Arabidopsis thaliana: one gene and its partner. The protein of the gene in region 1 interacts with the protein of each later gene in a pairwise test. Each region holds a gene or a part of one and is shown on either strand. Other genes may lie near its edges.

Region 1 (3,944 bases):
CACAACAAGGTTGACATTTACGAGTTCTAGATGGAAGAATTTTTCCATTGTTGAGATCAAATCTTTTTTCATCATCTGCATTGCAACTCCATCCAGGCTCACATCCGGAAACCCATTTAGCTAAATTGCAGTTGATGTTAGGCTTTACATGAACCGTTGTTGCTTCATCTCTTCTAACAAAACTACTAAAGTAGAACTTTATCTCCGCAGCTGAACATAGTCTAAGTGTGAGGTCACCTGCATATCACAAGACCATTAAATCTCAATGTTCAAGTATTTGAATATAAAAACATAACCCTTTTTATGTTGTTTACCATCATTTTTCTTGACACAATTGCTTAAGAAGTCCAGATTTTTATCAAAATTAAATGCTTCATTCCAATCGCCCTTCCTGAATTATCAACAAACGATATGAGAAAAATGTAAAATTCAAACATGGGACTACATTAGCTGATTTTGAAAAGACTTACAAATTCTTGATGCAATAACCTAAATCTCGATCAACGTCAGCCTTTAAAACAGTCTTTAGATTCTGAAGTCGAGTATAGATAAGGTTTGTAACCGAAACAAGAGCTTTTGGGTTCCCTGTTTTGCTGTAATCATCTCCATCCAGAGATAGTGCAAATGACATAAAACTCAAGCCAAAAACAAAGAACAAGAAGATGTGTTGTGTCCAACAAACATCAACCCTAACTCTCATTGTTCTTATATCAAAAGTCTTGCCTTAAAATCAGAACCTTCCGAATCGAAATATCTGAACCCTCTGACCTAACAATAGAATAGATACATTGGAAGCTACCAATAGAAATATCCGTAGAGATGTCTTGTGTTTTTCTATCATGTCTTGAGAAAACCAATGAGTATATTCTTGAAAAATGGAGATGAAGGATTAAAAGAAAGCTAACGAGCTTGTTGTAGATTTTTTTTGTTCTCTTTTAGAAAATCTTGAAATGTTGACGTTGAGATCAAAAGTTGGAAAGTTGAAAAATGAGAGACTTGCGTGAAAGAAGAGAGTTGAGAAGGGTCATCATGGAAGGAGGTCCAGATTTCTAGCAAATGAAAAAAAAAATGGGTGAGAAAAATGATTGGTTTCTTAATTATAACTTATTTCCAAAAATAGAAATAACTATATTGGAGGAGCATGACAAATGATGATTCTTTGGATTTCATGAGAAATTTTTGTTTATTTAAATAGTGTTGCTTAATGATTTCAAGCATTACTAAAAAATCACAAATCAATAGTGAGAAAAACAATATAAACATTATAAACATATGGCATTATTTTTTAATCAATTTGTTTCCAAAACCAAATAATAAGATTATCAAACAATATTATTAGTTGTTTAGTGGCAAAATAACATTACCAAACTAAACAACATGATTTGACTAAATTATCCTTATCTGTTACCTCCTAAACTTTTAAAATCCTAATTTTAACACTCTAAATCAAAAGCCTAATTTTACTAATGGTGACGGCGTCTACGTTCCTCCTCCTCCGCGATCTCAACCTCAGATTCCGCCGTCGTGGTCATCGGCTCTAAAAGCATCGCTGTGAACGGCATATGACTGTAACCATTCACCGGATACTGAATTCCGATTGGCTGACAAAGATCCAACCTACAACTCGGCGATTGTGGCGTTTGCGTTTGCGTTTGCGGCGACGTCATCGACGACGACGACGAGGAATCGTCCGCCGCAACATCAACCCAATTCGAAATGAGCTTAGTCCCGTAGCCAGTGGCGGCAATAATCGACGGTTCAGCTTGACTAAGAAGCCATTCGATGGTTTCTCCTTCAGTTTTGTGACCGAGCTCACGCGTTAACTGGAAAATCCTAGCGGCGGCGAGAGCCGGCATCGTAACTCGACGGCTTCGTCCGTTAACCTTCGTGTGACGGTCTTTAGTCCTGGCGGAGATACATCCGCCGCCGCTCGAGGAGGATTTCGAAACACCGAACTGCGTTTGGGAACGCGATTCGGAAGCTATAGCGTTGAAGTTGGACTCATTTCTGCACACATTCTGAAAAATCATCTCCGAATTCGTCGATTTTGTAAACTAATTTCAGTGACGATGAACAAGGATTCACAGAGAGAATCTTAGGGTTACTAAAGGAGGGAGAAGAAGATGATTCGAATTAACTTTTGGATAATTTGGGCTTTTAAGCCCAATATAAGGCCCAACATGATCCACTCTGTAGGAAAAAAAAAAAGGGAGAGAGAACAAAATCTGACTTCCATGGCAACAAACAAGTTTTAATTTTTACAAAAAAAAAATTGGGAGTGTGTGTGTCGCCTTATCTGTTCGTCATGGCTCTGTAGAGTAGCCTCATGTTCTTATTCTTCTTCTTCCTTAGCCATTCGTGGAAGCAAAAACAGAGTCTTTTATTCTTTGGTGATTCTGTGAAATGGAAGCTACGAGGAACTTGGTTTCTTCATCTCCTTCGTTTCAGACAAAGACTCATCTCAAGAGCAGCTACTCTTCTCCTTCCTCTGGTACTTCTTATTCAGCTACTCTTCATATAGAAATATTGTGTCTTTGCTGGATTTGTCTCTGTTAGTTACTGGAATTTGAAGTTCATGGATTTCAATTTGAAATTAGTGTATGTATACGAGTTTGTGTTAGCATTTTCTGATTTGTTTTTGTTCGTTTGTTGGTATTTCTGTAGTAGTGATGCTTCATGATCAAACAACAACTCCTGTTGTTAACTCACGTCATCTCAATTCTCTATCTCGACATTTTCCTGCGTCGGTTCTCTCACAGGAGCCACGGGAAGAGTCTAGGCCTCTGTCACATGCGTTAAGAGACGATAGAACATCCCAGGTGTGTTTTATTAGCAGCAATATTGTCCTAAGAGATTGAATCAATCATAAAGTTGTCAACTTTCTAGTCCTCTTGTTTAATGCGATTGGGTTCCTTGCATTTTTAGTTGACTCTGGAGAGGAGGCAGTTTGATGAATTGGTTTCATCTCGAGAAGATGAGAAATTTGAACAGCAACTTCTTCACTCTACTGGTTTATGGAATTTGTAATGTCTCTTCCTCTCTTAAACCCACCAGTTTCAGTTTTCATACAACCTTTTGAGTTTTCTGAATGATGTAGCCTTTCTTTTGTTTGCAGATTAATATCTCCTTTAACATCTGAAACGAAATTGCCGGCAGTTGTGTCTCCTTTAGCTGATGCAGAGCTTTGTGATGTGGTTGCACTAGCTCAGAAGGCTTTATCAGCTTCAAAACAAGCTGCATTGTTAGTTGATGACACTGAAGCAAATCCATCTGACAACATCAAGGATTCTCTCTCCACTAGGTTGCTTTTTTTAACCTTGTTTGTGTATCTTATCAATCTGCTACTTGTGGGCTGTAATGTGAAAAGATTTGTATTTCTGGATGTTTGGTTTTAGCTCTTCTATGTCCTTACCGGAAAAGGGAAACATAGTAAGATCGAAGCGGCAGCTAGAGAGACGAGCAAAGAACAGACGGGCTCCAAAATCAAACGATGTGGACGATGAGGGTTATGTTCCTCAGAAAACTAGTGCGAAGAAAAAGTATAAACAAGGGGCTGATAATGATGATGCGCTTCAGCTCTTCTTGTGGGGACCTGAGACAAAACAACTTCTGACTGCTAAAGAAGAAGCTGAGCTGATATCACATATACAGGTTCATGCTTTCCTTATTCATGTGTCCTTGGACTTCCTTCTTGTCCCTGGTGCTAACTTCCATAATCTTTGATCTATCAGCATTTATTAAAGTTGGAGAAGGTAAAGACTAAACTTGAATCTCAAAACGGCTGCGAACCAACAATAGGCGAGTGGGCTGAAGCTATGGGGATAAGTTCCCCTGTCTTAAAATCTGATATCCACCGTGGGAGAAGCAGCCGGGAAAAGTTGATTACAGCAAACCTACGTCTGGTAGTCCATATAGCTAAACAATATCAGAATCGTGGACTCAAC
Region 2 (6,595 bases), on another chromosome or scaffold:
TGATCAAGAGGAGGACTTATTGTTTGGAGATGAACTCGTTCTGATTTCGCATTATGACCGGTTTCAGGTAATAGTACATTGTGTCATTCTATGGTTTTGTATACTGCTCTGTTTGGATGTTTGAATTAGCTTCCCTTTGTGGCATTAGCAATGATCTGAAAATTTGATTATCATTTATGATGCAAGAACCAGTTTGAGGAGTCATAGTATAGTGTGTTTGCCTTGTCTGTCCTCATGTTCTTCGAATTGTATTAGCTTGGGTGATGATGTTTTTGAGCTGAGATCATGTATCACTGATGCGGTTGATTTGTGACCAAAATGAATAAAATTTGAGTTGCTTTTCGTACATATTAGAGTCTTATATCTGGTTTAGATTATGGGGAAGGTGTTGACAGTGTTAATCATAGACATTTTGCAGATGGTGGGAGCAAACAAATCCACATATGTTGGAGAATGAAGGAAAGAGAACAGAGAGTTCACAAATGTCCTGAAGCCAAAAACCGCAAATCTCTCGACTTTTTTTGAGACATACTGCTTCGCCAGTCATGAGGCCTGCGTCGAATGAATCTGCAGGCATGGAGGATGCCGAAGGGAGGTTCTCTGAAACCGAAGAAGAACGCCATTGTACATACACTCTTGTAAAAGAAGTCTGCGAGTGAGGAAGAACATGTGTGTGATCTGTGTTAAAAAGAGGCACATATGAAGGATGTGAATCGTCGTAACACGTAAGGGATTATGTTACAAAAGAGTCTGTAATAATATGTATAAGCTTTATTTCGACACTTTGATGTTCTGTTCTTGATACTTGGATACTCTGTTCTTGAAGCTAACTACTTTAGACATTGATCTTCCTTTTTATCCCCTCTCTAATTTGATATATGCTCTTGTATTACTCATACTGCCCCAATTGTAACATAGAAGCTTAAAAATGCTACATAACATGCAGCCAACAGAATGAGGATGACCTGAAAACATTGGTCCGAGTTTCGGACAAAGTTTATGACAATGAACATGAACACATATAGAGACATATATATGATTCATTACATAACACATGTTTCTCATCAAACAAAAACAATTCCTCGCGGTCTGAACATACAATCAACCTGGCTTATGATTGCAATGGAGGATTCATATACATGCTCAGGGCTGCACAAACATCGTCTTCCCACAAATTACACTTCCACTCCTGCATATATTCCAAGAAACATTTTCATATATCAACCATATATCTTGATGAAAGTATGAGCCACGACCAAGTTGTTCAAACCCATTATCAAGAAATCGAAGTGTGGAAGTAATGTATAACAACCACTGGAGTTTAATCATCTTCCTTCACACAATAATACATTATGAACTATAAAAACTCATTTAGCCTTACAATTCCTCATTACTAGAAACAAATCCAACCTTTACAAATCAGTGCTATGTTGATACCAAAGTCTATATTATTGTTATTAAAGAAGTTCCTGTAGTTTAGTGCCCATAGTATCAAACCAAAAAGTAAGAAATTTAAGAAATGAATCAATCAACCAAGCTCCACTTAGTTTATGTATCAAAACAACATCAATTCAGATTTCAGGTAAAAGAAAACATATGAATCACTCAAAATGTGATGTGAAAGAGATCTAAAAATGTGAGTGCTCCGAATTAAAGGGAAAGAGCTCATGACAACAATGAAGAGATGGGATAATTAGAGTCCGACACATAGCATGTGGTGCCACTTCAGGAGGACAATGTTTTAAAACAATTTTGCCAGGCAAAAAACACTCAACTTCCCATCTTTTTCTCTTAAATAAAATATTTATCTATTAAGGACAAAACTTTCTTCATAGCAAAGTCTTTTGTCAAATGTTGATTCTTTGATGCCAATTATTAAATATTAACTAACTTCTTTCTTATCCAAAACAGTTCATCACCTCATTACATTTTCCATATTAAAATAAATTGCTATAAAGATTTCCTAAACCAAGAACTTGCAATACTAATATATATATATAACTAATTCAATGGAGTCAAAAGGTTTAGGTGAATTACTGTATCATGTGAATGAATAAATACATCAAAATGGGACACAAATTTAATGAAATGACCTACCCTTAGAGAAAATAAGTAAATGATCACAAATTGGAACAAGGTGATGCTGAGGAAGAAGGAAACCCAACATAGAACACATGAGGAGACAAAAACAGACGATGAAGCCCTCTTTTCAAATTCATCCACATGTCATTGATTATATAATCCTAAAGTCATTATTACTTCGAGACACACAAAAATGTAATGAAATTATGAAACCAACAAAATATGACTCACTGCCACGCCCCAATAAACCATCTTTCTTTTGTGAAATCAAGAAACCAAAATTTATAACAAATCAAACAACATGGTACTATCACTACATTTAACTAATCCATAAACCATTTTTCTAAAAACTGAAGAATTGAGATACTAAAAAGATAGAAAAAGACTAACCAAGATTGGCGAGAGATGAAAGGAAGCATTTTGTTTTTACTATCTCCTTTCCTTTGCCTTGTCATCAGAGCTCCGGTTTCCTTCGCCGTAATAAAGATATAGCCGACCATCAAAAGTCTCCGGAAGCTGGTGGTTATGGTGGTCAAGAGGTGGAGGTGTAGCCATGAAAAAGGAAATGCTTTGACTATCCATTGGAGAAGAGGAAGAAGAAGACGAAGAAATCGATGACCTTTGAGTAATGTTGTTGTTGTTATTCAGAAAGAGAGATTGTGAATTGGACTGAAGGGTCCCCCTACTACTGTAACCACCATTAATGGCAGAAGAAGAAGAAGAGATTCCAAAGTTGTAATCAGGTACAAAGGAGAATGGGTGATTCATTGGCTCTTGAGAGGAAGAGTTTGGTATTTGCAGCTGAACCGGGTTAAAGCAATCAGAACCACCGGTCCAATTCCGGTTACTCGGTTGTTGGTCAAAACCACCAGTGAGAAGCTGAGTGAATGAGCTATGAGCATTCTGCAAATCTTTATCTCTGTCTTTAGCTGTTCTTTCTCTAGCTCTCTCTCTTGCTTTCCCACGAATCTCTGTTCTTGATAACGACAACAGCGAACTCTCAGATGTTCCACTACTACAAGCAGATTTGGTCTGATTCTGATTCTGATCAAGATGATCAAAATTTGTGTTAAGCAAAGGAAGATCAGTGATTGAATCAGAAGCTGCATTGATTAACCATTCAACAGCTTTACTTGGCTGATCAAATCCAAGACGATCTTGAAGATCATAGAACTGGATTGCTGTAGCAACTGAGAGACGTATTCTTCGATCTCTTAAACCTTTTGATGTTAACACTTTGCTATGTCTATCTTTGCCACCAGAAGCTCGTGAAACCCTAATGATACGAGACGATGGATTGTTCCAATTCCTCATTAGTCCAGTGTTGTCCTCTGAGAATCTTTGTAGCTTTCTGCTTTGTTGTTCTTGATGTTTTTGTAACTCAATGTCTTCGTCAACCTCCATTGTAACGCTACTCTCATACTTTATCAGAGCTATGATAATTAAGTAAAAAGCCTGAGTATGTTGCAGTGATAAACTTTTGAATCTGCAAAAATTAAAGTAAGAAGAAATTAAAGTCACTGCTCAAAGGCTAAAAATAATAAAAATTTGTAGATCTGCCAAATCTATTCATGTTCATAGACCTATAGCTTAAGAGCCTTTTTCAGAAACCCTAAATTAATTATATAAAACCTATGAAACCTATAGGAATTTATTAAAGATTATGAGCTTTGGTGAAAATAATAAATACCCAGAAATTAAAGGAGAGATTTTTAAGTGAAGAAGATGAACAAGACTAATGATTTTGTTCTTGCTAGAAGCTTTGCCCTAAATTACATGGCAGTTTGCAAAATAAGAATCTTGATACATTAAATAAAGCAGAGATTTTAAAATATAAATAAAGGGTTTGCCTCAAAAATCACCAACAAGCTAAGAGAAAACTCACTTTGGATTACAGGTGTCAACTGTCTAAGCTCAGTGTAGAACAACAATGGCGGCGATAAGTGAAAAACAAATTTAATTTTCTTCAGATTCTTGTCATGAGCTTCTTATCTCTTCCTTCTCATGCTTAGATCTCGTCATTATAAGCATTAGAGAAGTGTTAAGATCCACAGATCTGCAATAATAGTTATATCAAAATAGTCACACAAATATAAGTTATAACATAAAAAAAACATTCGTTTTTGAGTAGTGTTTTAGGACGTTTAGATAAAGAGTATTTTCCCAGGAAAATCAGCCGAGAAAGTGAAAGAAAATTAGCAGAAAATGGGAAATGGGGAGAGAGGCTAGAGATATGAGTTTTATTACCTGTTAGAGAAAAATATCAAACAGTTGCCTTCGGACAAGGGAAGACAAGTGCACTGTTTGGACTATTTTGTACTTTCCTTGTTCTGTTCTTTTCTCTCTCTTTTACCCTTCTTTCTTTCTCCTTTTTCAATTCTGCCACTAAACTATTAGAATATCAATATTTGCCCTTTTATTTTCTTTTTCGATCAATTTGCCCTCTATTAATCGAATTATACTGAAGTATAATGTATGTTTTAATCATATAAATAAGGTTCATGACACTACATCTGATAAGACAATATAACTAGGAATAAGCATACATCCTTGATGCAAATATAGCCTATATTGTTTTAATTTACATTTTCAAGAAACATCTAACTTACATAATGTTTCATGCTATGGTGAAGAAAAGACACTCTCGAGGTGACAAAGTGGACACATGGGCTTCAAAGGCAGAAGCTTCACTTCTTGCATGCGATAAAATATATGGGGTTCTTGGCCAAATTCAGTAACCTTAATCATACAATGAATATTGGTCATGACACAAATTGTATAACTTCTTTGTTGGGCATATGCGGGAGTCCGATTTAGTCAGTACACTATGAGTTAACCGTGGCAAAAGATGCACGCTTTTACTCGGCCTACGCCAACCATGATATTTTTGTTTGCTTAGATATGGTTGAGGTTTTAGTACAAAACTTAACCGAAATAGGAAAAAAGAAACATCATGAATTAAAACATGTTGCCATCATGGGTAATGACCTATTTGGATTTAATGTAAGATAGGCCAAACATATGACTCTCAAATAAAAGTAAAGTAATTAAGAATATTAATTTTTTCTTTTGTAACAAACAAGCTTTGAGCTTTAGAACCACTTTTTGATTGTATTTTCAAAGCCTAAACAATTTAATTTCTTCCACGTAAAGACTCAAATTTGGGGAAAAATACTCAACCTTCCTTCCAAGGAAATCTTTGAAACTAAGTGAACTATCAATACTTGGTATGTAAAGTAAGAACATGATTCTAGTAAGAGTAATTATTAAATAATTTTTGAAAACTAAATAATGTTTCACAATAAGACCTGGACGATTATCCCTAACCTCGGTAGCTCAGTAAGCAAATTATTGTCAACTTGGGAACTTCTTTACACTTCCGACCAATAACGACTTTCTAATTAAGACTATTTTCTTGATAGGGAAACAATGTCAAAATTCGTTTTTGTATACTGTATAAAGCAAAGTTTAACAAATTTATAGATCTAATGTTATGTATTAGTTGTAGAAAGATAAAAATAGTAACAAAAATATTAAAATAGTACATGTCAAAGAAAATTATATACAAATTTACATGGGTTTTGTAAATTGAGTTCCATCCAGATGCAGTGAGTGAAAATAAAGCAAATATTTGCAAATAGCATACTAGTATGTCGTCACTCGTACGTCAGTCATCACATAATGTTTCAACCCATATATTATTCCAAAATATGAATCATCTTACGTACTTTTTTTTCTCCGACTCATGTTATAGTATATCAAAAAAGTTTAACTCATCTCACACGATATGTCGATACAAACCCACTTTGGGCTAACCAAATACATTCCATTTTTAGGGATATGTTGCGTTCATATATTATACTGTATCACATCACATGTCTTTAAGTAATATTTCAGAATTGTGTAAATAAATATTTGTGTGCTTCCATGAAGAATTGGTTTTTAACGTCGGGCTCGAGACTGGCTCGAGACTGCGACGCACGTGTCACTGTCCAAAGGCATTTATTGATGCACATTCAGAATATTTTGGTTCACATCGAATTTTTCACTTTTATTTTGCCAAAAATATATATTTTACTCCAGTGTCCAATGTATCTCTAATTCTCTTATGTGGTTCGAATGTATAATATATTAAACATAATTGCTTTGTGTTTCCGAACTAAGAATATAACACAAATGGTATTTTATATGGTTTTATTATTAGATAATTTCTAATGCAAAAATAGGAAAAAAACCAATTGGAATCACTCAAGTTTTCAAGAACAATACTTGTTATATGCACTTACACTTGTACTTGTCAGTTTCATGCTCAACAGCTAAAGAGTCAAGTACTACGAAACGAAGGGTCCTTAACCATTGACAATAATTAGACCAGATTATGTGTTTCTTATAAAAGTGTTTTTCTGTGTTCATATTATTCATAAGTAAATGGTCTTATCAAAATGATTTTGGTGAAATTTCAATTGTATATGGTAAGATCTAGTTCCTAGGATCTTGCTCCAATAAGTAGATT

Evidence for each region. Proteins that work in one complex are often made in the same cells at the same time.
Region 2: the proteins of AT2G37000 (region 1) and TCP24 interact in a two-hybrid assay, tested with the Arabidopsis thaliana proteins (one large-scale study listed by BioGRID).

Annotation. Positions count from the first base shown.
Region 1 is NC_003071.7:15,538,476-15,542,419, reverse strand, and holds AT2G37000 (TCP family transcription factor), read right to left. Parts: upstream 2,175-3,944; 5' UTR 2,031-2,174; coding exon 1,464-2,030; 3' UTR 1,172-1,463; downstream 1-1,171. Other genes in the region: NAP12 (non-intrinsic ABC protein 12), read right to left, coding at 1-237, 315-391, 471-700; SIGF (RNApolymerase sigma-subunit F), read left to right, coding at 2,404-2,491, 2,665-2,819, 2,926-3,023, 3,116-3,301, 3,396-3,651, 3,732-3,944.
Region 2 is NC_003070.9:10,626,243-10,632,837, forward strand, and holds TCP24 (TEOSINTE BRANCHED 1, cycloidea, and PCF family 24), read right to left. Parts: upstream 4,389-6,595; 5' UTR 4,330-4,388; intron 4,325-4,329; exon of another isoform or gene 4,139-4,324; 5' UTR 3,968-4,138; intron 3,569-3,967; 5' UTR 3,487-3,568; coding exon 2,512-3,486; 3' UTR 2,473-2,511; intron 1,190-2,472; 3' UTR 943-1,189; downstream 1-942. Other genes in the region: AT1G30200 (F-box family protein), read left to right, coding at 1-44. UniProt on the Arabidopsis thaliana protein: Plays a pivotal role in the control of morphogenesis of shoot organs by negatively regulating the expression of boundary-specific genes such as CUC genes, probably through the induction of miRNA (e.g. miR164).